Daphnia pulex: one gene and its partner. The protein of the gene in region 1 interacts with the protein of each later gene in a pairwise test. Links are inferred from orthologs where the notes say so. Each region holds a gene or a part of one and is shown in the gene's direction. Other genes may lie near its edges. The genes, in order: segmentation protein cap'n'collar-like and transcription factor MafK-like.

Region 1 (12,919 bases):
ATTAACACTAACTGAAACTGACTAATGAGTAATGACACCGTCGAGATTCTTTATCTTTATTTTGAATTAGCCGCTTGTCTCAACGCTGTGTGGACTTTCCGCGCATTTTTTTCGATTGCTGTCTGCTGTCGTACAGAAAGCGTGAGCCCACCGTGAGGAAGTTCCTTAAGACCGATAATTTAGTCTATCGAAGATTTTATTTTGGTATTCTATACGTGTGGCCAGTTTATTCTTGTAAATCAGAAGGGCCCAGCCCATTGAGCAGTTTGCCGGCTGAAATTTTGTCATTTTAGAGTTGGAAACCTTTTCTATTTGCTCAAAATGGTACGTTGTTTAACTCGATTGGAACACATTACATTTGCCGGCCTACTAACTAATGTTAAATCATGTACTTTTGCTTATTTAGGCTGTTTTAGGAGTTCAATTGATAGTCACTTTGCTCACCATCAGCATCATGCAAAAAGTGACTCAACGATTTTCATTTGGGAAATGGATCCTGTGCAAAACAGGGTAAAACAAACTTTAAGGTTCACATAGAATTTAAAAATTACAGGAATGTATTTTTTTTTCAGGCTGGTGTACTACCTCCACCCTACCGATGCAGAGTTGAGAAAGTTAGCAGGACTTCCGCAGCCCAAACCAAAGCCAAAGCCTAAAGAAGGAGACAATAAACGAGGGAAGCACAAAAGAAAGTGGGCAGAGGAACCTGTAGAAGATAAGACATTTACAGTTCCCAGAAATTTGGATTTACAGGTAAGGTTATTTTCAATAAGATTCTAAATTTGTATTAAATTTGTATTATCTTCTATTTGTGCTCTCAGCTTGAAACTGCCAAAATATTTCCTAAAGATGTTTTACAACTCAAGTTTTTCACTGAATTTGTTTGGTTGGTTGACTACAGTGTATTCGTCCTAGTTGTCTATCTTATAACAGAGGTAAGTTAGATTTTTTTTCAATTATTTTCTTCAAAAGTTTATACAATTGTTCCACATCAGGTCTACTGTGGGGTGTTTCCTAAGGGTAATCAAGAAGTTAACCTTAGTATGCTGTGGTGCCTTCTACTTATTGGATTTGCCTTGTAATTATTCTTAGCTGCAAAAAGATGTGAACTGCAGATGATAATTTTTTGTTATGATTTATTCCACAGAAAATCGCTTTGCAGTGTCACTAGTCTTTACTTCTGGAACACCGAAGCTGCTGCTGAGAGGTCATTGGTTCTTGTCGGTGGATCGTTTTGCTTCGTCCTTGCCTTAGGATTGCTATTGATTGACGAATCTAACCTGGAGATCGGATTGGATGCTGCATATTCCTCTTTCAATAAAAGTGCATCCGTTTTCTTAGAACGCCAATCGATGGATTCAGAGTATAACGTCTCATATTCGATAAATTTTAAATCGTCGTCTTAAATTATTGATCTATTACAGAGGTCCTGCTTCCAAGTTGATTCTGAAACTCTGCTTTGCTGTGTGGTGCGGAATTACGGGTGCTCTATTTATATTTCCTGGTTTGCGAGTGAGTCGCATGCATCTAGATGCTTTACGGTAAGCTTAAAACAAGTTGAAACATAAAATCTGAAATTGAAATGTTGTTCTCTTCTCTGCAGTTATTGTAGCGAAAGAAAAGTGTTAAAAATGTTCATGTACATCAATCTGGTATCGCCGTTCCTGCTTTCCCTTCTTTGGGTTCGCCCTTTGGCGAGGCATTATTTCTCCGTCCGAATCTTCGGTAACATGGAAGCCCCACTGTAAGAATAATAGAGTTTTATCTGGTTACAAATATGATAAATTTACCTATTTTTTTTTTAATTTTTGTTAGCATGAATGATGCAACATTCGACAGCATGCGTCTTTGGTTGTGTGTAGTTTTCAGCATCGTTCGGATCGTTTCCGCACCATCTTGCTTCCAGGCTTATCTCAACTTAGCCCAAGAGAAGATTGAAAACATGAAAAAAGAGGCTGGTCGAATTTCGAATGTTGACCTTCAGAGAAAGGTTGACAATAGTTCATTTTTAATGCTGGAAAAAATGTTTAATTTCATTTTTTTTTGCAGATTGCTATTATTTTCTACTATCTTTGTGTGGTTGGATTGCAATTCGTTGCACCGGTTATCCTTTGTGTCGGTTTTACGTTGATGAACAAAACTTTGGGTAACTACTTTTGTCTAGTTCCATTAATTTTATCACTGTCACTAATGGTTTTATCGATTAAACATTATGTAGGAGGCTACGGTTGGTTTGGTCAACATCATTATAACCCAGACGAGTGCGATCCACAGCAGGAACCAAAAGCAACTCTCTCAACTCTTTTGCCAAATGACGAGACCACTTTGGTTGACGCCAGAGAACAGTGGCTTGCGGCCCTCAGCACATTTCACCAGGTTTGTAATCCAGATTATTTATTGATGATTTTAAAAATTATAATTACAAATTTTTGAATTGATTGCCAGATATTTTCGTACGAAGTATTTCGTGGCATTTTCGGGTTTGCCAACTGGTGGATGCAATTTTTGTCTTTCTTCACAATTGGCTGTGGTCTCGCCTACCAGTCCTATTTTTTTGATGGAGTAGTGTGAAACCGAGACGAACATGTCTAATGGACGAACAGTGCCGTGCATCACAATTTTGGCGGCGTGCAGATACTTGCAATTCAAAGTAGTCCCGTGTCTTCTGCTGTCGGATGGATGCAAATACAGCACAAGTAGTCAATCTCCGTAGGAAACCCCTGTGGTTCATTGTGTGTGAATTGCGTGCGTGTGTGAGTGAGCGTTTACTTCTACATTTTGAAACAACAGATCTCATTCGAGTTCGGCCTGGATGATGACGATTAAGGATCTGTGAACAAATCCCTTATTTGCCTACCCTGTTAAACTATTTATGAATAAATAGTTAATTTATTTGATAAGCAAATTCATTCAATTCTAATTGTCACACTTTTTTTTCGAAGCTTTTATTAACATTGCAATTTTGAGCCTTCTATTCTAAGGTTACAACGATTTCTTTAATTCACAAAGGACTGGTGGCGAAGTACTCGGCTAGATCGACGTCCTTTACACCACCAAAGTAATCGAGAAGGCAGATTTTACTGATAACTAATTTCCCGAACCACCAACCGTGATCTGAAATTGCAAACCAGGTGAGTAACTTTGCAATTCAAATCATTATTTAAATATTAAGAACCTTTTGGCCAGTCTTTCATTTCCGGATGTCGAGAGAATAACGCTTTTCGTGCAAAGCTCTTTTCGCTGGGATCGGTGACCTAAAAATCAATTCGATCAATGTTTCGATCAATTTTTAAATGCACTTTAATGGCTTCAAGTCATTACGTACGCGAACGAGTTTCCCCGTCAGAATAATGTGAGCACAAAGAGGATCTTCCGGGTCGTACTGGTGTTTTTTGCAGAAATGAGTTTGAGCTAAACTCATTGTGATTGTCGTCCTTGAGTCTTCCTGCGTATTAGTTAAACCGCGTAAAGCGTACTGGCACAACGTCATGTTAGATACTAAGAAATGATGCTTACTTTTAAATCCTGAACAGATATTTCCATGTCCGTCAAGTAAAAATAAGGGACCCCTTTTGAAATGTGGACTGGTCCATCGCTTACCGAGAAAATATTAGCAAACGGATAGCCTGCGATGGGAGCGTGGGTCGAAATGGTGGCAAGTGCGGTCCAGTCTTAAATGGTCACAACTTTATAGTAGCTAGATTGTTTTAAATCATTATTTAATTTACCACTCTTGTGTACGATATAGCGAGCCATTTTGGCCACTAGCTCGTGTGGAGGAGGTTCCGATTTAACGACGGTTAGATTATTTTCTCTTTTTATTTCGTAGGGCATGTTGACATATGTTATGTGGTTGCGGTTGTTCAGCGCAAAGTCTCCCGGTTCGATCCATTCAGCCAGAACAAACATCAAAGCGAAGAATTTCCAGCTGCGTTCCATGGTTACGGTTTAACGCTAGAACTACACCCAAAGGACATTTTTTTAATGAGCACGACACACTTTGCCGTTTTCTTTACGCTAAGCGTTAAAAATGTTAAAGGAAACTCTACCTGGCGGTTACTAAACAATTCGGTTTAATCTTTTCGAAACACGCTTTCAGGATTTGTGAATATCAATTGCAGCCTTATCCGGATAGGAAAAGTAAACAAGACTCCAGTCGTATAATCAATGCAGACCTGAAAATTTTTATGATATGTGTCCGATACGGTACGGACGAGGGCCTATATTAAAACATACACTTGGAACGTGATCAGAAATTCAAGGGGATGTCGCTAGTGTCAGATCAAGTTTGATTCAGCCCTACCTTCGTCCAGTTTTATCTCAAGGCTTTCCACTATGTATGTGTATCATGCCCTAGTAACGGAGACCATCTTAAAACCGAGCAAGCGTTGCCAGTTCGATTGGTGCGAGTCTTATCACAGGGTCCAGCTCAGCACGTCCAGCTCTTGCTTCTAATGTTGATTTTGTGAGCTTGTTGATAAACATGTCCGGTTGGAAGAAGATTTTGTAAATTAATACCTGACTGGATACAAAAAAAAAACAAGCAGAGTTCGTTGATAATTCTGAATTGATAACCCATAGACTTGAAATCGCCAGCAAATCGAGCATTAGCGACACTGCCCAACGGGTGAATCGGGCGCCAAGTGTACTATACGAAGTCCTAAGGACTTTAGGCGCCGCCTACTTTTTCTACTCGCCGTCACGATTGTCGACACTGTCTAGGCATTCTAGTTTCGAGTCCCGAGGAATACGATTCACGCTTGAGGCATCGTGTGGTTGGTCGTCACCGAGGTGAAAAATCAAAACAAACAGTTTTCTAACGTGAAACAGTTTAAGTTAAACCGAAAAATGGTGGATGTGGATCTTCCCTTGATGTTGAGTTTATCTCCTGAACCAGATTCGCCAGTGCATATTGCCAACTCTGCGAAATCCACAAATAAAGGCAGTATATTTAACGAGGTTAGTTTTCCTTCCTTTCTCCAATTTCTCTTCGTTGCTACGCCAGCCTATTTGTGATATTTTTGCCGGGCTTTTGTAAACAATATGATAAGATATGACTTTATCAGGGCCAAAGTCTAAATTTTGGAAATTTTCAAGGATTTTTTGCATTCTTAGCAACATCAGATCATGTTGTTTTGTATCAGGTGCATGCTGATATATATTGTCGTGTTAAAATGTACAGAGGAAAATGTGTGATGTTGTTTGGCAATGCTGTATTTACGTCTGGATTTTACGTCATCAAACCGGAAAAATTCAGACATCAATCGACATTAAATTTTAAGGAAGGTACAAAGTTTGACTGAAAGTCACCTTGCATATCCCGTGACTTATAACACTGATAAATGCCTGTCCAAATTGAGTGGTTATAAACTTACACTGTACGTAAGATACGAGATATGTTCGTCGGAGTGTTGCATCATTCTTGTTAGTTTATTGTTGGCTCCCTAGGTGTCACTGATCCAGCGTGAGAGCTGAGTCACTTTGCCCCTTTACAAAGAGGATAGACTTGTAAATTTTCACGCCGCTGTCGTAGCAGCAGCAGCAGCAGCATCTTCCTTTCAAAACAAACTATCAAGATTGCAACATACAAACAAAATGTTGGTGAACGTGTTTGATGAATACTGTTTTTAGTGATGTTTCCCTCGACATAGGGAACCTGAATCCCCACTCCCAAGAACTACGTCGTTGCGACGTACTGTGCACAAAGTTAATCTGAACGCCGAGACAAAGCAATAAACGCCAAAATGTTGGCTTACGTCAAAAAGATTCATAGACACTCGGATGAACTTCTTCATCTAGCTCTGATACTCAGTTTGATTAGAGTAGATCCTGAATCTTATCTTGGATTGGGTCTGGGACGGTCCAATTCCATTCGGGGAAGTTTCCACAATGTTACAATGGGAGACACTTGGGCTCATGCCCCATCGGATTTCCATCATGGATTCATGAGCAACTTGCCAGATATACCCTACTTACATCCTAAGAGCATGGAAGCTTCTTTAACTCAATATCAAGAAGAGCTCATTGAAGATTTAAATGATCTTGGGAGATACACAAGCATCTTACCCCCACGAAGCCCAAGAACAATTACCGCTTACCTGCTGGATGACAGCTCACTCAACCGTGACTCAAATTTGCCTAATGTAAACACAGTGAGCCCTGTTGTTGCTTCTTCTAGCAGTTCATTGATAGCTGCCACTGTAAGTTCACAATCCCATCATGATGAACTACTGGATTCCATACAACCACAATCACCTCCAGAATCTTCTATTCAAGATGACGCTTCTGTACTATCTCTGGAGGTAAAGCCATTGACAATCAAGATAAAAATCCATTAAATACTCAGAGTCTGCCAAGTGAATTGCTCCCCCTCCTACCACCTGGAGTGTAAGCAGGTCTGTTCTGTTGTACAAAGAGTGAAAAGGGTAATGGTGCTATGCTGTTGTCGTGGCAGCAGGTCCAAAATGGGTGATGAATGCAATTGAAAGCTAAGCATGAATTTGCTAAAAAGAAAAAAAAAATACGATGATGACGTGCGATGCAGTCCACAAATGGCATGTCATGCTGCTGCCGATTTCTTGTTTGTCATCAGGAGAACACGTTGGATACAATTTTTGTCTTGGCGACCTCTTGTAGACCCAGTCTCAGGATCTCCCAAATCTCCCAACACTCAACAGTCTGTTAGAAACATTCTGCCTGTTCTGTTGTCGATTGACCTCGCAAAATTTCATCGGACGCATGATTTTCCTGGATTTCTCTATGTCGTAGTGTTGTGATTTATATAACGGATACTGAAATTTAGTTTTTGTTCGATTGATTTTTCAAGGAAACCCTGTTTTGACTTATGTAACACAATTTGTATCCATGTCACAGGATGCGGACCTGATAGAAATTTTATGGAAGCAAGACATCGACATTGGAGTCCCCCGTGATCATTTTCTCTTTCCGGAAGATCAAGAATCCAGCAGCGAGGATGTCGACACAGCAACGTTGAAGGACAAGTTGGATTTGAAGGTAGAGAAACTACAGTTTTTCCTATTTGAAAAAAGAAAAAAAAATGGTCGGCACTGCAATGTGAAGGCTGTGTCATAAAGAGATATTACATGTTAGAGGAAGGCCGACAAAAGTGCTGGCTGTGAACTGCATGGAAGCTTCATCGTCTAATGAGCAGCAATAAATAATGGGTTGTACAAACTTTCTTTATCTGACATGCAGGGCGAACAAAAGGAGAAGACCAAAAATGGCGAAAATAAGAACGACGAGGACCCTCCGGACAAATCTCCTTCAGATGACGATCCCTGGGCCGGCTTATCATATCGAATTGATGATGAAACAGGTGAGTGAAAAATTGCATAACAAATTGCTGGTTAGGTCGTGTGGGTTTTTTTATTTTTGCGTTTTCTAAGGAAAACGTTAAAAGGATTGCGTCACTAGACTAACATGATGCGTAAATTCTTATTGGTGAGTCTCAAATAGTTAGCGAGTTTCTACTGAGTTCAGGAAATGTGATCTGATCCTGCGTTGGATCCTTTGAACCCATGGTAACATCGCAACAGGTTGTCGCATTTCTTAACTACGCTGCATCCATCTGTATATGGATTCATAGAGTGTCAAGTCTGCGCTGCGCAGATTTCAAAAACCAAATCAGAAATGTCGTCACATAAATGTGGTTGGTGGATAAATAGTACAAGTGACCTCGGACTTCCTTATGACACTTCTCGAAGGTTCTGTGAATTTTCGGAATTTTGGTCAGTGGCACCATCTAGCGAAGGAAAAGCATACTCGTTTCTTGCTTTACTACTAGGTGGCGCTGACCGTTTCCAGAACTTGGCAAAAGTTCCGTTTTTTACGCACATTGAACAGTATGGTTCAAGAAAAATCTTTTCTTATATAAGTGTTACATAATTGATGCTTATATATTAACTTTATTTAATTATTCAAGCTTTTAAAGATCTTTTCTTATTCCGCATTTGTTACAACCAAGCTGAATTTATTCAGGCAGTTTTTTCTTTGGGTTATGCGGTGATGATATTATTTCAGACGTAATTCCACGAAACAATTTTTTTTTTTCTGAAAATCTACAAATGACATTCAGCGCCAAATAGTCAACAGTTTTGCACCACAAAAAATTCCGGCTAAGCGCTTTGCGGTACATTCTGATCGCTTCATACTTTGTATCGCCATCCACATCGTATAGAATGCCAGAACAGTTGCTTTTCAACATCAGTAACAAAAGGGAAAAAGAGAGAAAAGTCTGGCGTATGTGGGCCGCCGTGAAAGAGAAAGAAAAGAGGAGAGGAGAAGAAGAGAGAAAAAGAAAAAAAAAGAAGGAGATGGCTCCGCCGATGAATGCTATATCCCACATGACAGGCAAAGATCATTAGTCATTACTCAGAGTTCGACGCCCCGCTAACTCGGACTTGTCGACCAGAGGGGGGATATATATTATATTTATATGTGATATTATATACATATTTTTCTCGATGTATCTACGCAAGGCCAGGTATTTCCAAAAACATTTTTTTTTTTCATGTTACAAACGTCATTTCAAAGTAAATATCCGTGGGATGGGAGGAATTCGATTTCCAGCCAACAAGTTACGCGATCTTAACATCCGCCAAAAAGAGATGCGGATGTGTCCCTACAGAGTTGGTTGGGTTCATTTGATTCCGGAAATTCATTCCTGCTCGCGTTCCAGTTTCGTATTTGGATATGCCAGTTGTCTCCTCGGACCGTGGCGTGTTGAATAGACTCTGGTTTGACTTTTGAATGCTTTTCGTATCATTGTGATTACGTTTCGAATGGGGTTTTATAGCCTTGATGCTGTGATAATGGAATGGAAAGCCTATTAGGAGAGGAACTAGCCAGGAAGAGCAGATGCCCGTCCATTCTGTGAGACTTCTCCCTCCCTACCTTTTTTTTTGCCATAGTCAGACGAAGAAAGAAGAAAAATAAGGAGAAAAAACCTCCCGCTGATGTCTTGTGCTGTTGCACCCGCAATCATTAATCATAAAAACCTGGCTCCCTTCACTAAAAAGGTGAAGCCGAGCAACAACAGCGGGATTACATTCGACTCCGCGTCCGTTCGGCATTTCCATCTCCTTCATTTTTCTTCCGCACTCCGAAAAGACCGAGTCTCTCTCTCTCTCTCTTTGATCTTTTTTCCCCTTTATGATTGCATTCCCCTTGTGGAAGCGCAACCATTTTTGAATTAAAGTAGCGGAAGGCGTTACTTCGCTGCATTCTACCGACTCTGTCGTTGGGATCCTTGTGTCACATCAAGGATAAATCACATTCGAAGGTTACGCTTCACATTTAGCACTACGCATTTGTGTTCAAAGTTAAGTCGACCGAAATTCCAGAATTCAATCGTTTATGGTTCGTAGGCCGTTTTTCTTTTATAAATATCACTTTTTTTCCTCCCTTCGTTTGCGTTGTTGTTTTTGTGTTTACCCCCACAATGACCATCGGAGAAATTATCGGTGCGTAAATGATCCTGTTCAGCGGGGGATGACCCCTCTCCGAAGTGAAAAGTTGGATGTCCTGCTTATAAAGATACTCTCCAAATCGTTAAGCGCGGCGAGAATTGAGGCCCGGGCGCGATCATTAACTCAGCGCTGCTGCATGGACCTTATGACCCGTGGCCAGCAAAATGGACAGAGAAACAAAACAAGCGGGGTAGAAAAAGGAAGAAGAAAGTACCGAAAAGACTAGTTTGTTATGAACCTTCTCACCGTCTCAGGTGCCTGCGAATTCATTAAAATGTTAAGAAAGAGTTCCATCGGCGGTCGGAGACAAAAGGAGTCCGAAAAAAAAGTCTTTGAAGACCGCAGCAGTATCAGTGAGGTCCGTAAAATTCATTTTTCCAACGTGATGAATAGTTTGTTCAGTATTGACTTTTTTCCAAACCTTTGGGCTTTTTATTTTTGGTTTAGAAATGGAAGGATAATAGACTCATTGTTTCTATGTGCGTGTAGGCGCGTGTAGGTCTTGTGCACCGAGAGTAAAATAAGCTCTGCCGGAGCTTCAGTTTTTCAAACAGTGTCGGAATCTGATCTATTTTTGCCCCCCTCGAGCCGCGGGTCGAAACGGCATTTTCTAGCTGACGGATAATAAAGTGAGGCCAAAGAAAAAGATGTCTTGTACAAGTAAATTTTCGGCGATCGAAATCGCACAGCAGCGAGCGCGTCGTCGCGTCTTTGCTCCGACCCCCCGATGTCAAAGGGGCCCAGCAGCGTTGGAGGGAGGTCTTTGGAGAAAGCCCCCCCGAACAATTCCTCCCGATGCAATGCAACACACGACTTGCATGAAAAATTAGTGTGAGATGGCGCTGATTGGGAAAAAGAGAGAGAAAACTGTTTGTCGTTTCTTTTTCTTCTCCCTCTTTGTCCTAAGAGATAGACACAGAGAGAGATTCCGTCACGGCGTTTAGGTTATAGAGCTCCAACCTGGCGCACTGCTCCACCCAGCGGGATGGAATGCAAAACTTGCATCGTATATCGGAGTTTCTTCTTTTTTCTCTTATTTCTATTATGTTACCGGGCTACGGGATTTTCTACTCTTCCGTGAAGCCAGCACACGTTCCGTCTCTCTCTCTCAGTTCTTTTTTTTTTCTTTTGTAACTTGAATATCCAATTTGAACCGTCTCTCTTTTTTTTTCTCTGACGGGACGGCGGGACAGACCATCACGTTTTCTTTTTTCTTTTCGGGGGTGCCTTCGTATCTTTTTTCTTCATCCATTCTCTCCGATGTGCTTGTGTTAGGTGAATTCAAACTCACACTGCCAGAGGCTGCCAGCTAGCCTTTTTCCTGGCTTCGTGTTCTTTCTCTCTCCCCTTCTCTGGTTACGTGTGCTAGGGGGAATTTTTTTTTCATTCGGCATGTGTGTGTCTATTCACTATACACGCGTGTATATAACTGTGCATGATACCAAAAGAAGGATGGTAGGTCCGTCCGTTTCATTGGCCGATCCACGCCATTGGTTGGTTGCGTTAGAGAACCACCCGCCGGTCGCTTATTATGTACCATGCTGTTCCCTCGATCTCTCTTTCCTTCAACCTTTTTTTTTTCTATCCTGCATGAATATTATTACATCGGAAAAGTCTCGAAGGAAACAGATAAAAAAGAATTCCAACGAATCATTTGTTATAACCCTCTTTTTCTCTCTCTCTCACCGATCAGCTTGCGCGATTCCTTATTTTACGCACTCCAGGACTTTTTCTTCCTGATCACGACTTTTCATATTCTAGTTGTAAAATTAAAAGTAAAAAAAACTAGAAACTAACCGAAACGACGCAGTGTACATCGCATCCACATACATTATGTATAGTGTGAAACTTGTTGGATAGATAGATATGCGCATTTTATCGATAACGCGGAAACTGGCAGGGAAGCTGGGACGGTCACTCGTTTCATCGTCAGATTGAATCGACCATTTTCCTGGAAAATTTTAAGTCGGTAGTGTTCAAGGGTCAGGTTACAGTGGAATAGATTTGGTTTGATTCTCTTCACGCTTTAGATCGTCTACGCTAATCGAGGCTGTGAGATTTAAAAAAATAATGTTAGAGCTTCTAATTGTGAATGTGTTTGACATGCAGTTTGGAGCTCTGTTTCACTGGATTGCATTTAATTTTCTCTTGTTCTATTTGGATGTTGTTTTTTCTATCTTTTTAAAAATAAAGAGAAAGAGACTGACAGATAGAAAGGTAAAGAAATAACAAGAAAACTCTTTTGTCCGATTTTATCTTCACGTAGTAGCAGCTTGGTAGGTAGTCGGGAGAGGTGGGTTAGACAATAGTCTTTGATGAAGGGGTCCTTCGCCCCCTTTTTTCAGCGTAAAGAAAACGAGAAAAACATTCTAGCATTTTTATTTTGAAATTTCATTCGTGCGCTTGTTGTACCAATAACTCCATTCTTGCCCGTTGGAAACAACCTCAATCCGTGTATATTTGTGGATCAAATTCGCATGAAAAACATTGGAGAGGAGAAGAATCGCAGGAAGATTTCTTCGTAGGGAAAACCAGGTTGGATGTTGTTATAACAGTTGGAAGCTTTTCTTGAAGAACTAGTTGTTTGGGGTCCGTTGTCGTCATCGAAATAATGGTCGGCGTGAGCGAATCCACTGGCTCATTGAGTCATTTTCTACCCAAAAGTCACGTACTGTTAGGAAACGAAGCGCAATGGAGAAAAAAGAGAAGCCCAAGAAAGAAAGAAAAAACACACAAACACACAGAGTCGGGATTATGTTTTATTTCCATGTTATCCGATGGTTGTTTGATCGGCAATGTATGCGGGTCTTTCCTCTTCTTCTTCTTCTCCTCTTTCGTGTCCTCCTCCCTCTACCCTTCTGCTTGTTTAAATAGCGTGTTTTAACACGTTCCCAAGAAGTTGACAGCTAAATGGGAGGGAAGCTGCGCGCTTGGTAGACACAACTTGAGGGAAGAAGGAAAGAAAAAAAGTTCCTTGTCTCGGCCTCGCCTCCTCTTGAGTTCCCCATGTCCATATATTGCAGTGCAGCTTCAAGTCCCTGCTCATCTCGAACCTCGTTGGGAGGGAAGTTTTCTATTTCTTGTGTGCTTGTAATAACAGCTTTGAAACAACACAGTCTCGGCTGCTGCCTGCCGGGCCCAGAAAATTTAATTGACACGTCCCTATTATGTTTGTACTAGTCCGTATTTCGTACATGATGTTTGTCGCGCATTCAATTCCTTCTCGGCCCCGCCAATGAAAAAAGAAGAGACCCCAAAAATGGAATGAAACATTTTTGAGCCAAAGCATTTTTTTCAAAAGGAAATCGTTGATAGTAATTACTTTTGAGGCAACTCGGTAATCGTTCCATCCACCTAGAACTGCCTGCCACCCCCCCCCCTTTTTTTTCTTAAATTACATGTCATTGTTATTAGACGTCGTCGATTAAGGG
Region 2 (11,453 bases), on another chromosome or scaffold:
AAGCCTTGCGGGTATTGTACCTGCTTGATAAAGATGCAACAGATCCCTTTCTCACCCAACCTCTACACCACACGACACGTTTTACGTAATGATTTTCGTGACCTTCGAAGCAAACTGGCCTATCCTTCTGCAGGTTGACGTCGCTGATGAGGATGGGTCTACAAAAAAAAAAAATCAAAATGAATACCAAATGGTTAAGTAACAAAACATTTCTCGTTCTCTCCCAACCTCTACAGCACTGCATAACACGTTTAATAACTTAAACATCAATGTGACCTTCGAGCGCAAACGAAGGACATGCAAACTGGTACTTCCTTTTGCTGGTTGGTGTTGCTGGGAATTGGAATGGGTAGACAATAGGTCAACAACCAATATCAAAAGGAATATCATGGGTATAGCTTAAAACTCGGTTTGTAAATAGCATTTGATATTGGAGAAATAAGATGAGAATGATGGAAAAAATAGCTTAACATGTAAAAACTATAAAGGCCTCCATACGGTCAGATACTAGTTAGTCAACATTGCTTCATTGATTTTTCTATTCCAATGAATTCTTGCAGAAGATAAGCTTCAGTTAAGCAGCCCATGAACCGCACAAATTTAACTATACCAACAAATTCCAACACGAAACCCCACATGACTAAATGTCTTGTTGAGAAGAACTTCACTTAAAATAATTTAAACGAAATTTTTTTCTTAAGAAGCCAAAATGTTGTCCCTACCCTCTCTACTTGAAGCACTTATACACAATTCAACAAAAATTCCAGACATTGAGTGTGTAGAGGACACAAGAGGATTAAAACAACACCCATTAAGCCTGTATCTTTTTCCATGCCAAGTAAAACAATCAAATGCTGTAGGTCTGAAACCTATAAAGAATAAAACACACACTTACTGCTTGCAGCAACTGAAGGATAAGATGTCTATAATCTACAATTCACGGCATCGGTGTAGTGGCTCTGGAAATCACAAGCTGTGATGGTATTCCCTGGAACCTTGGTGGTGTAATAACTGGCTGAAGCGTATATTGTTGTCATGTAGTACACCAGTGGTCGACCCAGCCATCAACGATACAACACCAAACAGCAGCACGACGCCATAGTTAAATAGACAAATTATATATTTAAACATTAGCATCAAATAGCAACTGACACATTAACCCATAGTCAATAGTAGACTTAATAATACAAAACTATGTAGAGAAACGGAATGTTTACCAAATGTTGCGAGCTGGTAATGTGATGAAGAAGCCAGTTGGTACAGGCAGTCCACAGGAGTTGTTGCCGTGTCGGTGATGCTCACCCAACTGATGTCTGTATCCTTTTCTCTCTCCTTTTATACAAATTTTTTTCTCACCCTCACCTTCTAAGCCTTGCGGGTATTGTACCTGCTTGATAATGAAACACGTCCCTTTCTCACCCAACCTCTACACCACATGACGCGTTTTACGTAATGATCTCCGTGACCTCCGAAAGTGAAAACTGGCCTTTCCTTCTGCAGGTTGATGTTGCTGGGGATGGGTATACAATATCAATATCAAAATAAATACCAAATGATTATGTAACACTTCCCGTTCTCACCCCACCTCAACATCACTCCATGACACGTTTTACGGAAATTCAGTATGAAAAACAAATTAACTTGAAAATTCTTTTGTTCACTAATTCGTATTCATCATGACAACGATCACGTGCATGAACCATCAAGAGCTATCAGAAACAGTCATGTGTAATCTAAGGATAAAAAAGTTAATCACTATTAGTATTGTATTTAATTTTATCAAATTTGACGAGGAATTCTTTTATTAAGTTCTTTTTGGCGTCAAGTGAATATTTACAAGCTGCTTATTAACGAATTTTGAAACCGAAAGTAGATGAAAAAAGCAATCATCAAAAATTTAACAAATGTGTTTTGATGGTGAAATGTCGTAAGGTACCACCCCAAAAGTTAGCTCTCAATTACTGCCGATAAATATTTACATGGACTTGCAAAGTAACTAAAAACTACGTAATTAGACTGCTGAAAATTATCAAAGACAAAAGCTGAAAATAAAGCCACGAAAGTTAGGAAAAGAATATGTGTAAGAAACACTTCATTCAATGAACAAGGGTCTCATTGAGGGATCATAACACAGAAACAGAGTTTAAAGCTAATAGGTTACTGGTAAATAATGAAAACTTTTTCAGATACCTGGGCATTTCACCATGAGAGTAACAGCGGACTGAAGTGGTCTAACTTGTCAGTGGAGTAATAAGACAAGTTTTATGTAGCAACATAAAACGCATAGAAGCTAGATGAGCGCGAAGATTGAAGGGAAGATAAGGACGGAGCAGAACTTTGGTCTATTGTTGGTGTCGTTGCGTATGTTGTTGCTTCGTAGCAATACCGCCATACTCAGGAGACATCGGTACACCAGTGGCCAACCCAGCCGTCAACGACACAACACCCAAAATCACACGACGCCATAGTTACCTAGACAATGAAAAATTCTAACATTAATTTTCAGTTACAACTAGCACTTAACACATACAAAAACATATTGATTAAAAACTTTACATAAAAAAAAAGAAAAACGAATATTTACCCATGATTACGGATTGGAAGAATGCAGTTGATGACAAATACACGCAACAGTTGTTGCCATGGAGATGCTAACTTGACTCATCTCTTTCGAGTCTGACAGCTGACACCAGAATTGATTAACAATTGACTGACACTGACACTGAGAACTGAGAGACACTGAGAACTGAGAACTGACACAGGAATTGAGAACAATTGTCTTCTTCGTCCATTTCCCCCTTTCCTCATCGGCGATTCAGCGTTGCCAACGCCGCTTAAAAAGTGCTGTATTAGACAGCAATCGGTATAACTAGCGCCACCTATAAACTGCTTTCTGTCCGCTAGATGGTAGGGTGTGCTGTCATGGAGACATACTTCTTGGTGTCGTATCTCTATATCTCTGGTTTGTTGTGGTTGAGTTATTGAAACTCTTTCGGAATCAACGTAGGCTATGTAATTTGGCCTACAACAGTGAAAAACATTTCGGTTTTCTTAGAATTTGATCATGAATAGTGGTGTAAATGAATCTGAAGATTCTGCTGGAGAACTCCGAAGAATGGGAGAGTATGCCGATCAGCTAAGAAGCTGGTTGGGACAAGCATATCAATGGCAAACATTACAATGTCTCCCTTATTCAATGCCTTCAGTTTTCATGCAAAGTAGACATCGTCCTTTGTCCAATAGTACACCAGTTTCGGCTAGAACTGAAACGCCAGTGACAAATGTCAATCACCAACAAAGGCCATCTACTAGAATTGGTTCAGTTCCGGCAACACCTCCCATAGAAGGTATTTGATTTTCTTAATAAGCAAAAAATTTTTGTTAGCGAGATTCATGCTTAGTATTTAAAACAATATTTTTTATTTATTAGGAAGAGTTTTTGAAGTCCCAAAACTTTCAAAGCGCTTATTGGCTGAAGTGATTGATTTTGGTTTACTGTTTTTCATCAAAGCCTTTGTGACATTAACAGTTCTAGATGCTTGGAATATGGAGTAGGTCACAATTTTATTTTTATTAATCAGTATGGATTATGTAATACAAACAATAAAATTTAATCTCCAGAGATTCAGGTTTTTTCCAAACTGAAGAAAAAGAAATAACAGAGGAAGCTGATTATGAAATGGCCATGGCAATTACTGCCAATTTGTTAACTATTGAACTGATTCACCGCTTGCTAGTAGTTCTGTATGAAGTTTGTTTTACCCTTCAAGGTGGCACTCCAGGAAAACGAACAATGGGACTCAGTATAATTTCCTGCACAAAGTGTATCCCAGTTGGTATGTATACATCTTCATTACTACACCTGCTAAAATGTATACATTATATTTGTTTACAGGAGAAAATCGAGTGCTCGTGCAACCTGCAACGAAAGTCACATTTTGGAGATCTCTAGGTCGAGCATTCCTGAAGAATATGGGCACAGCCATTCTGTTTCCCACTTTCCTCCCATTAATGGTTGTTCAACATAATCGTACTCTATACGATATATTGTGTGGAACAGTTGTCGTTGAAAGCGAATAAATGTCAAAAGAACCTACCACATATGGCGCATTGTTTATCCCGATTAAAGCTGAAATGGTCTACTCTTGAAGTCTGAATCGATGTGCGTGATGGACACTTCATCTCCGCCTCGCATTACAACTTTAATTTTCTGTATCTTAGTGTTTTATGTCGACCAAAATTATTCCCCCAGTTGTTTCTATGTTATTACAAACTTTAACTAACATTTAATTGTTTCATTATTACATAGACTGTCACTTTCGGTAGGTCCGCAAGTTTTAGTAAGTTTTCCACAAGATTACAAATACACTGTATAGATATTTTGTATAAAGCTACTAATAAAGCGCACGTTTTGTTTTAAGGTGAAAACTGAAAAGTAGAGGAACTAGGGAATAAAATCGGTTTTCTCCTTCATTTTTCAATGTTTTTCAATTATTTTTTTTTTCCAAGAATTGTTTTCCCTACCGCTACGTGGTTCTAGTTGCGGTGTAACTATACATATATTCTGGTTTAACCGGCCTTCTCTTTATATAAGGCCTTGTCAAAATAAGCGAAACATGGCTGGAATAGAAAAACATCGCGATAGAGAATGACTCAGCGCGTTTTCTACCTGCGATGAAATTTTTCTTTCACGTCTACCTCGTAGAACTCCCACTTTTCGCCTTAGAAAAACGAAAATTTTAAATAAAATGAAAAAAGGTGACAAGAAAGATAGAAATGCTAATGCCAACAAATTTGATCTGGTGAGTGATGAAATCCAAAATGTTTGTTGTTGTTTTACTACTTTTAAATGCAAAACTAATGTGAGGTAACTTTTAGGAACCTTTGTCTCCATCCCCTTGTCTGGGTATTTCTGATGATGAGTTAGTATCCATATCTGTTCGAGACTTGAATAGACAACTCAAACTTAGAGGTTTGACAAGAGAAGAGGTAACAGAAACTTCAGTCTGACACATTGCATATTTTTAACAAGACTGTTCTACAGATAGTTAGGATGAAGCAACGCCGTAGAACCTTAAAGAACAGAGGTTACGCTGCTAGGTATATTGTTACATCACACTGTGTTTGATGTTGGGTATTTCCTATAAAATAAAAATAGCTAACAAGTGTTTGTTTTTTAGCTGTCGCATCAAGAGGATAGAGCAAAAGGACGAACTGGAGCAGGAGAAGGTTGGTGAACTTTCAGAAACAGAGAAGCTGGCAGAAGATAATGGCAAGATCCGTGAAGAGATTGAAGCCCTTCATCGCAAATATGAAGCCCTCCAGAAATTTGCCCTTCAAAAGAAAATTCCTTTGCCTTCAGAAATGGATCCACTGCACTAATGTTTATCTATTTCAACTACCTCCGTCTGACTACATCTTACATTTCTAAATCTAATTTCATGAATGTTTCAAAAACGAAAGGGCTTGAAGGGGCTTGAATGGTTCTGTTTGCGAGAAAGAAATACATCATGTACTTACCACGTAGTTCGTTGTTTCGACGTATAGATGTCTTTCTTCTCGTTCTCGACTGCTTTTTCGTGTCTGGAGGGTATGTAATAACCAAGGTTCGAAAAAGTTCCCAGTCACGCACGATGGCCCACAGGTTCGTTCTGCCGCCACGAGACACAGATAGCGTCTTCACTGCAGTTGCCGCTGTTGAAGGTTAAAATGTCAAAGCCAAAGGGAAATTTGGCCGAGTTTGTCGCGACTAACGAACCTCCCAGACAAGAAATGCTCAAAAAATTAGTTTCCAACGTTATTTGACAACACTATTTCTAATCCAGATAAATGTTGTAGCTTATAAAGTGACGGAATTGGGAGAGTTTGAAAACTACAATCCATCTCAACACTTACCGAGAGTTCAGAAACACCCGCTGCAGCAGCAGTCTCCTTTCTTCAATAAGAAAAAAACCTGTTTGACGGGGTCATAAAAAAACTGGAACATAAAGAAAAACCATGAAATATGACATTAGTAAGCTGCAGTTCGTCGAGATATGAATTCGGTCGTATTGAAACTTTGAAAGAGCCGATGCAAACGGAAGTCGAAGTATTGTTACTCTGATCATCCGCTCCCGCGCGTTTTTCCCCTCTCTCTCTTAAACTCCCTGCGCGAAATAGGGCGTTTTCGTGCGTGCATGAAAGACGGCAGCCGTCCGATAAAAATTCACGCGGCTTAAAAAATAACAACAAAAAAGAGAGCCATGACGCTGAGTAAAAGAAAAACGGGTTAAAAATAATGAAAGGGTCCCCCCTTCTCTCCCCCCAATCCACCTCTTTTGCAAAAGGCCCTGGGCGGAGTTTGTTGCGCGGGGCTAGATAAACAACCATTTCTTGCCATTGGTTCAATTCGTTGGAGGGCGGAGTCACTGGGCTCGACTCTTCTCTTGCATTCGACTCGCGTTCAACCATTCTGTTGAGAGACGCGGACGAGTAAACTACGTTCGTTTGTGCTGTTTTTTTTTTCGTAGTGACGCTCAGTCGAAATTGTTGGTGCCAGGCACAATTTTCATCAAAACAACACTTTTGATTGTGAAAACAAAGTTGACATTGCAGAAATCTGTCAGTTCGATATCGGTTTAGTGTTGTCGTGTGTTGAAAGCGAAGAAAATATCTAAAAATTCACCGAATTTCCACCTTTTGGAAAACGTTGGATCACTGTTTGCTAATAGTGACGCCGCCTGGAAAGTTCCGCGACGGCACCGTCGCAGTTCTATCTTTTTTTTTGCGGCGTAGTTCATCCTGCTGAACTGACTATCTTAGGCCCCCGTGTTGACGCTAGTCTTTATTAGCTGACCACAATTCCGACGGCTTTTACCGGGTAAGAAAAACTCTTGAAATTTTAGAAGCTCCTAGTCTTGTCAAGTGGAAGTTTGATTTTTCTTCCAAAGATCAAAGGCACGTTTTGAAGTTGATTTTTCGCCAACTGATGATATTACGTAGAAAGCACGTTGATTGGCCTGTGTCCCATGGGCATTTATGTTTGCTGCAACTGTACGTTTACCTTGAATGACGCAATGGCTCAAGACATTTACTATTGTTAGGCCAATCCCTTCGTGTCTACTAACTTTTTACGTAGGTGGTTTTTCTGCTTGCAATTACCATAAACAAACTCAATAACACGATGATAAGACAGGCTGCAGCATATGAATATAATTTTCAGTTGAGATGCATTTTCCCATCTGCTGATGACCTCTTTCCCGGCGTTTTCTCTTTTAATATTTTAAACATCTTTTTTTATTTATATTTTGGAACAATTTTCAACCGCCACCCCCTCACTGTGATCGAATTTCCCGCTTGCTTCGCGTTCCAGCTTGTAGGTTGAGTCCGATCCGATTTCACTCAAAACCTTTCCCGTGTGTTTAGCCGTAATATTCTCTTGATTGTCGCGCCGAGAGTCTTCACATCAGTTGCCCGGGAGAGATATCGTTATCAGTTGCTGCTGTGTCGGCTGATGTTTCTAGTAGTCGTCACCCACAGTCACGAGGTCAAATTAACTTTTTTATTTTGCGCCGTTATTTATTATTATTTAAAATAAAATAAAAAGAGAACTTCTAGCGTTGTGTGGCTATTGATCTCCTAGGATTGGTTGTAGCAAAGGATCGATGTGAACGCTGACGTGGGCTGATTTAGATGTGATGGACGTTCGAATATCTTAGGCAATCGATCAATAACCTAATTTGTCGTTTCTTTTGTATTTTTAGCGTTGGGTGCAATGGGCAACGTCCGTGACTTGTTCGTGAAACAATCGTAAGACATCTTGGCGAAGGAAAAATAATCATGGATCCGGAATCGGGCAAAGTCGGGCAGTTGCAGCAGGCTGCGATGCTAGTCGTTGCTGGATCGACACGTCTTAACACATCTCCAATGATTCCCGGAATGAAAACGGAATTTCCAGGACCTCCACCCGTCTACGATGGGCACGGTTTCGGTCCGCCCGTCGTCCTGGATCTGTCTCCCCGTGGTGTCGACCACCACCCTTCATCCATCCAGTCACCTTACACTCCTGGTAAACAGACACACAGTGCATGTCCAGTCGAATTCAGTAGACATTCATTTCAATAATAGTCTTCGCGGAATACGATGGGGGCGGCTTGTCGGGACATGAAACAGACACAAAAAGAGAGAGGACGGTCCTGTCAGTTGTCACCAATACCCCTGTGGTGGTGGTGGTGGTCAAGTCGCGCAACAAGGTCAAAGTTCACTTGAAGGACCTTTTTCTATCCATGACGGATAACTTTTTTACGACTTTATGTATAGGCCTATTTGTGTTTTAGCGTTCTTCCTATTCTTTTCTACTAGCCAATGGTTATTATTAGTGCACCACATAACTTTTTTTTGAGAGCCATGTCATTTACTTGACTGTTTTTCTCTGTACCACCCCTCGAGGGATAACGTCAGTAGGGTTGAATTTCGACAGACATTACGGAGAAAAATAGAAATTAAAAAGAGAAAAAAAAACGATGGTAATACAAGAGCTCTGGGAAATGTTGGCAGTTGGACAGATTCACTTTGGTGATCAGAACTATCTAATCCTGTAAAAAGAAGGAGGAAATTTTCCATTCCGAAACAAAGTGAAGGAAGGTTCAATTAGATTCCCGCTCTTTTTCTTTGAAATGCACCTTTCTCAAGTCGACCTGTGTGTTAAAAAAGTTTCGAGGGTTGGAGTGACTCCTCCCTTTTTCTTACCTGTTAATCTTTCAGCCCCCCCCTGAGGGAGTGGGGGTTGTGAATGTACATATACAACAAGAGAGAAATGTGTTTTAACTTTTATATACGACAATAACCTGGGGATACCTTTCGAAGCTTGGGTGTGTGGCCTTGGGAAGAGAGTCTGCTGGACTAGTATGATTGTGTGTTAGCCCCCTTGTTAGCCACCCGAAAATAGAAAAAATTTTGGCCGTTGTTTGACAATCATGTTGTTGACTTGGAGCTATTTCCGCAATCATTTGCGTCTTTAAACATCCGACCAAGTTTTCTGGGAACTGACGTTTGTTGTTATTGCATTTGGCCTGCGTTGCCAATGTGACTTCCTTTTATTACAGTGACGGTGGACGGAGAGTGTGGCGGAGAGATGGAGACGCGGATCAAACGTGAAGTCAAGACGGAATCGCCGGATTCCGACGGCGGTGATGAGGACGAGAGTAGAGACGACGACGACCAAGTGGATAGCGGCACACAAGAAGAAGAAGAAGAAGAGATGGGGGGAGGATGTAGCCGGACGATGCCACGAATGCCGGAGGCGAGTCTCTTCAAATGGCACCAGAGGAGGCAGCAGAAACGGCACCAGGATGAACAATTGCAAGTCATCCAGCAGCCGGCTGCGGTGATGACAGTAGACGGCTCCTTGCCATCACCATCACCACCGCCCACTGATCTCGATTTCGTCGCTTCTATTCCCAAGCGGAAGGCTTTGATCCATCCGCAACGCAAGCACAACGCCACAACGGCCTCTTCATCGAATGTTGCCATTCCGGTCGGCATTGCCGTGGCCAGGCAGCGTAGGGATAAATGCCGCTCCGATACGCCCATGCCGCCCGTCCAACCCAAAGCTAGGCGTGCCGCCCAGTCCAGTCCCGTTTCTTACCCAACGGACCTATTGTGTACCATGTCCAACTCATCCGCCGGATCTACTGAGCAACAACATCTCTTCAGTCCTTCTTCACTAGCTGGCCTAAGTGCAAGCTATCCGGCCGGAAGAGCTGTTTATAATCCAACGGCTCTTTACGCTGGTCATCCAGCAGCTCCGTCGCTCGTCTCCACTCCGGCCGCAAATTGGGGCTGGTCCAATCAGGCGGAATATAATGCTGCGGTGGCCAACTCCCTTTGGTCGACAACTGACATGAACTCCATCATGGGCTATTCGACTTATCTACCCACTCCACCGTCATCCAGCGTCTCTTCATCTCTCCTGCATCAACATCATCATCATCATCATCTCGCTGGCGGAATGACTCCTTCGCCTTTCCTTCTGATCCCCACCGCCTGTCTGGGTGAGTTTCCTTTTTTTTTCTTTTCTCGTTTGGTTTTATCTTTCAACATGCGAACGAGAAATAATACCCGACGAACGAATTGAAAGAATCGGGAAAAGTCAGCCATTTTCGTCCGATATAATCCGATCACTTGGTATTGTCGGATGACATCACAGATCTGAGTCCATTGATCCCGATTCGATCGGGACGGAAAAATAGGAAAGAATTTCGCAGCTCATTCACACACACACACACGGGTTTTAAAGTTTAAAATACCGAAATGGAATCTTGGAAGCCAAACAAAACACGCTAAAAAGGAACAAGTTCACAGTGTTGAGCATATAGAATGTGTGGGATTCAGTTGCATCTTGACGTCGTCTTGAATTTCGAACGGAGAGCAACAGGAAACGGTCGGCGCGCGCACTCTGGTACCTCCCGTAAAACAAATCCCGAGTATCCCGCACTAAAAGACCAATGACCTGATAAAAACGATTTAAAAAGTGCCCGACAGTTTTGTAATGAAGCAAAGATTAAGTCTCACCACAGGCGACGTGGAATATCAGTATACCCCTCCCGAAATGATTCATTCCTTTTTTTTAACTTATCTGTTGTCGCCAAGGGGAACGAATTCGACATAGTTGTGGGTTTTCTTTTCACTCGAATGTTTTTGCGTTGATCGATCAACCTCACTGAAATCCATTATATAGCCCGCGAGACTTTCCATTGAATTCACATTAGCTGCACTATAGTTGACAACATCTCTAGTGTCGTGAAAGAGAATAGAGCAGATAGAGAGAGGCTTCACCCCCACAATCTGGTAACAACAACAACAACATCGAAGAATAAAAAAATTAAAATGTACTGCCATGTCGACAAACCGGCGTGACAAGAGAGAACAAAGTTCATCAGTTTGAAACTAGTCTCGTCTAAATGAAAAGAGAAAGGACCAATTCTGTTTTTCCCCCCTCCACCCGACCCCATTATTATATCCCGCATCCAGGAGACGCCATGGACGGGATGCCAGCTATTGTATTCTAATTCGATATGCTCCCGATCTAAACGAGTAAAACTGCCAACAGATTGGTGGACTTTTAAAGGCAATTTTCGTTTTCACTTGGTTCTCACCAAGGACGTTGTCGTGGGGAAAAAACAAAAGTTTTTTCTTTTCCTTTCGGTTCGTTGAAGCGGATCGCCATTTAAAACAAAAATTTGATCCAGCTAATAAGACCGTTTCATCTTTCACTTGCGATAATCATTTGACTGGATTGACTGACCGTAAAATTTAATTTCAACTTTTTTTTTGTTTTTTTTTTTAATGCGCAGATTCGTATCCACGGGCAACGGTTCTGTGGCCGGGCTATGCGGCGTCGGCTCAGTCGCCGTGGGGACTCCCACCAGATATGGCAGCGACTCCGACAGCTTCATGGTCTCTCCATCCGCCGG

What was found.
Region 2: the proteins of segmentation protein cap'n'collar-like (region 1) and transcription factor MafK-like interact in a two-hybrid assay, tested with the Drosophila melanogaster proteins (3 studies listed by BioGRID, with this or other methods). The link is inferred for Daphnia pulex from reciprocal best matches to the Drosophila melanogaster genes cnc and maf-S.

The regions. Positions count from the first base shown.
Region 1 is NC_060024.1:12,563,766-12,576,684, reverse strand, and holds the start of segmentation protein cap'n'collar-like, read left to right. Parts: upstream 1-5,031; 5' UTR 5,032-5,744; coding exon 5,745-6,302; intron 6,303-6,873; coding exon 6,874-7,014; intron 7,015-7,215; coding exon 7,216-7,336; intron 7,337-12,919. Other genes in the region: transmembrane protein 161B-like, read left to right, coding at 322-324, 407-510, 573-753, 822-935, 996-1,078, 1,148-1,363, 1,425-1,541, 1,604-1,744 and 4 more; protein CREG1-like, read right to left, coding at 3,002-3,114, 3,176-3,254, 3,326-3,445, 3,517-3,671, 3,729-3,939. UniProt on the Drosophila melanogaster protein: Plays a role in posterior cephalic patterning. Probable subunit of a heterodimeric regulatory protein involved in the control of head morphogenesis.
Region 2 is NC_060022.1:2,778,351-2,789,803, reverse strand, and holds transcription factor MafK-like, read left to right. Parts: upstream 1-4,591; 5' UTR 4,592-4,748; coding exon 4,749-4,802; intron 4,803-4,878; coding exon 4,879-4,989; intron 4,990-5,044; coding exon 5,045-5,100; intron 5,101-5,180; coding exon 5,181-5,382; 3' UTR 5,383-5,526; downstream 5,527-11,453. Other genes in the region: protein FAM8A1-like, read left to right, coding at 3,065-3,347, 3,431-3,551, 3,622-3,836, 3,896-4,080; protein winged eye-like, read left to right, coding at 7,819-8,047, 9,084-10,031, 11,334-11,453.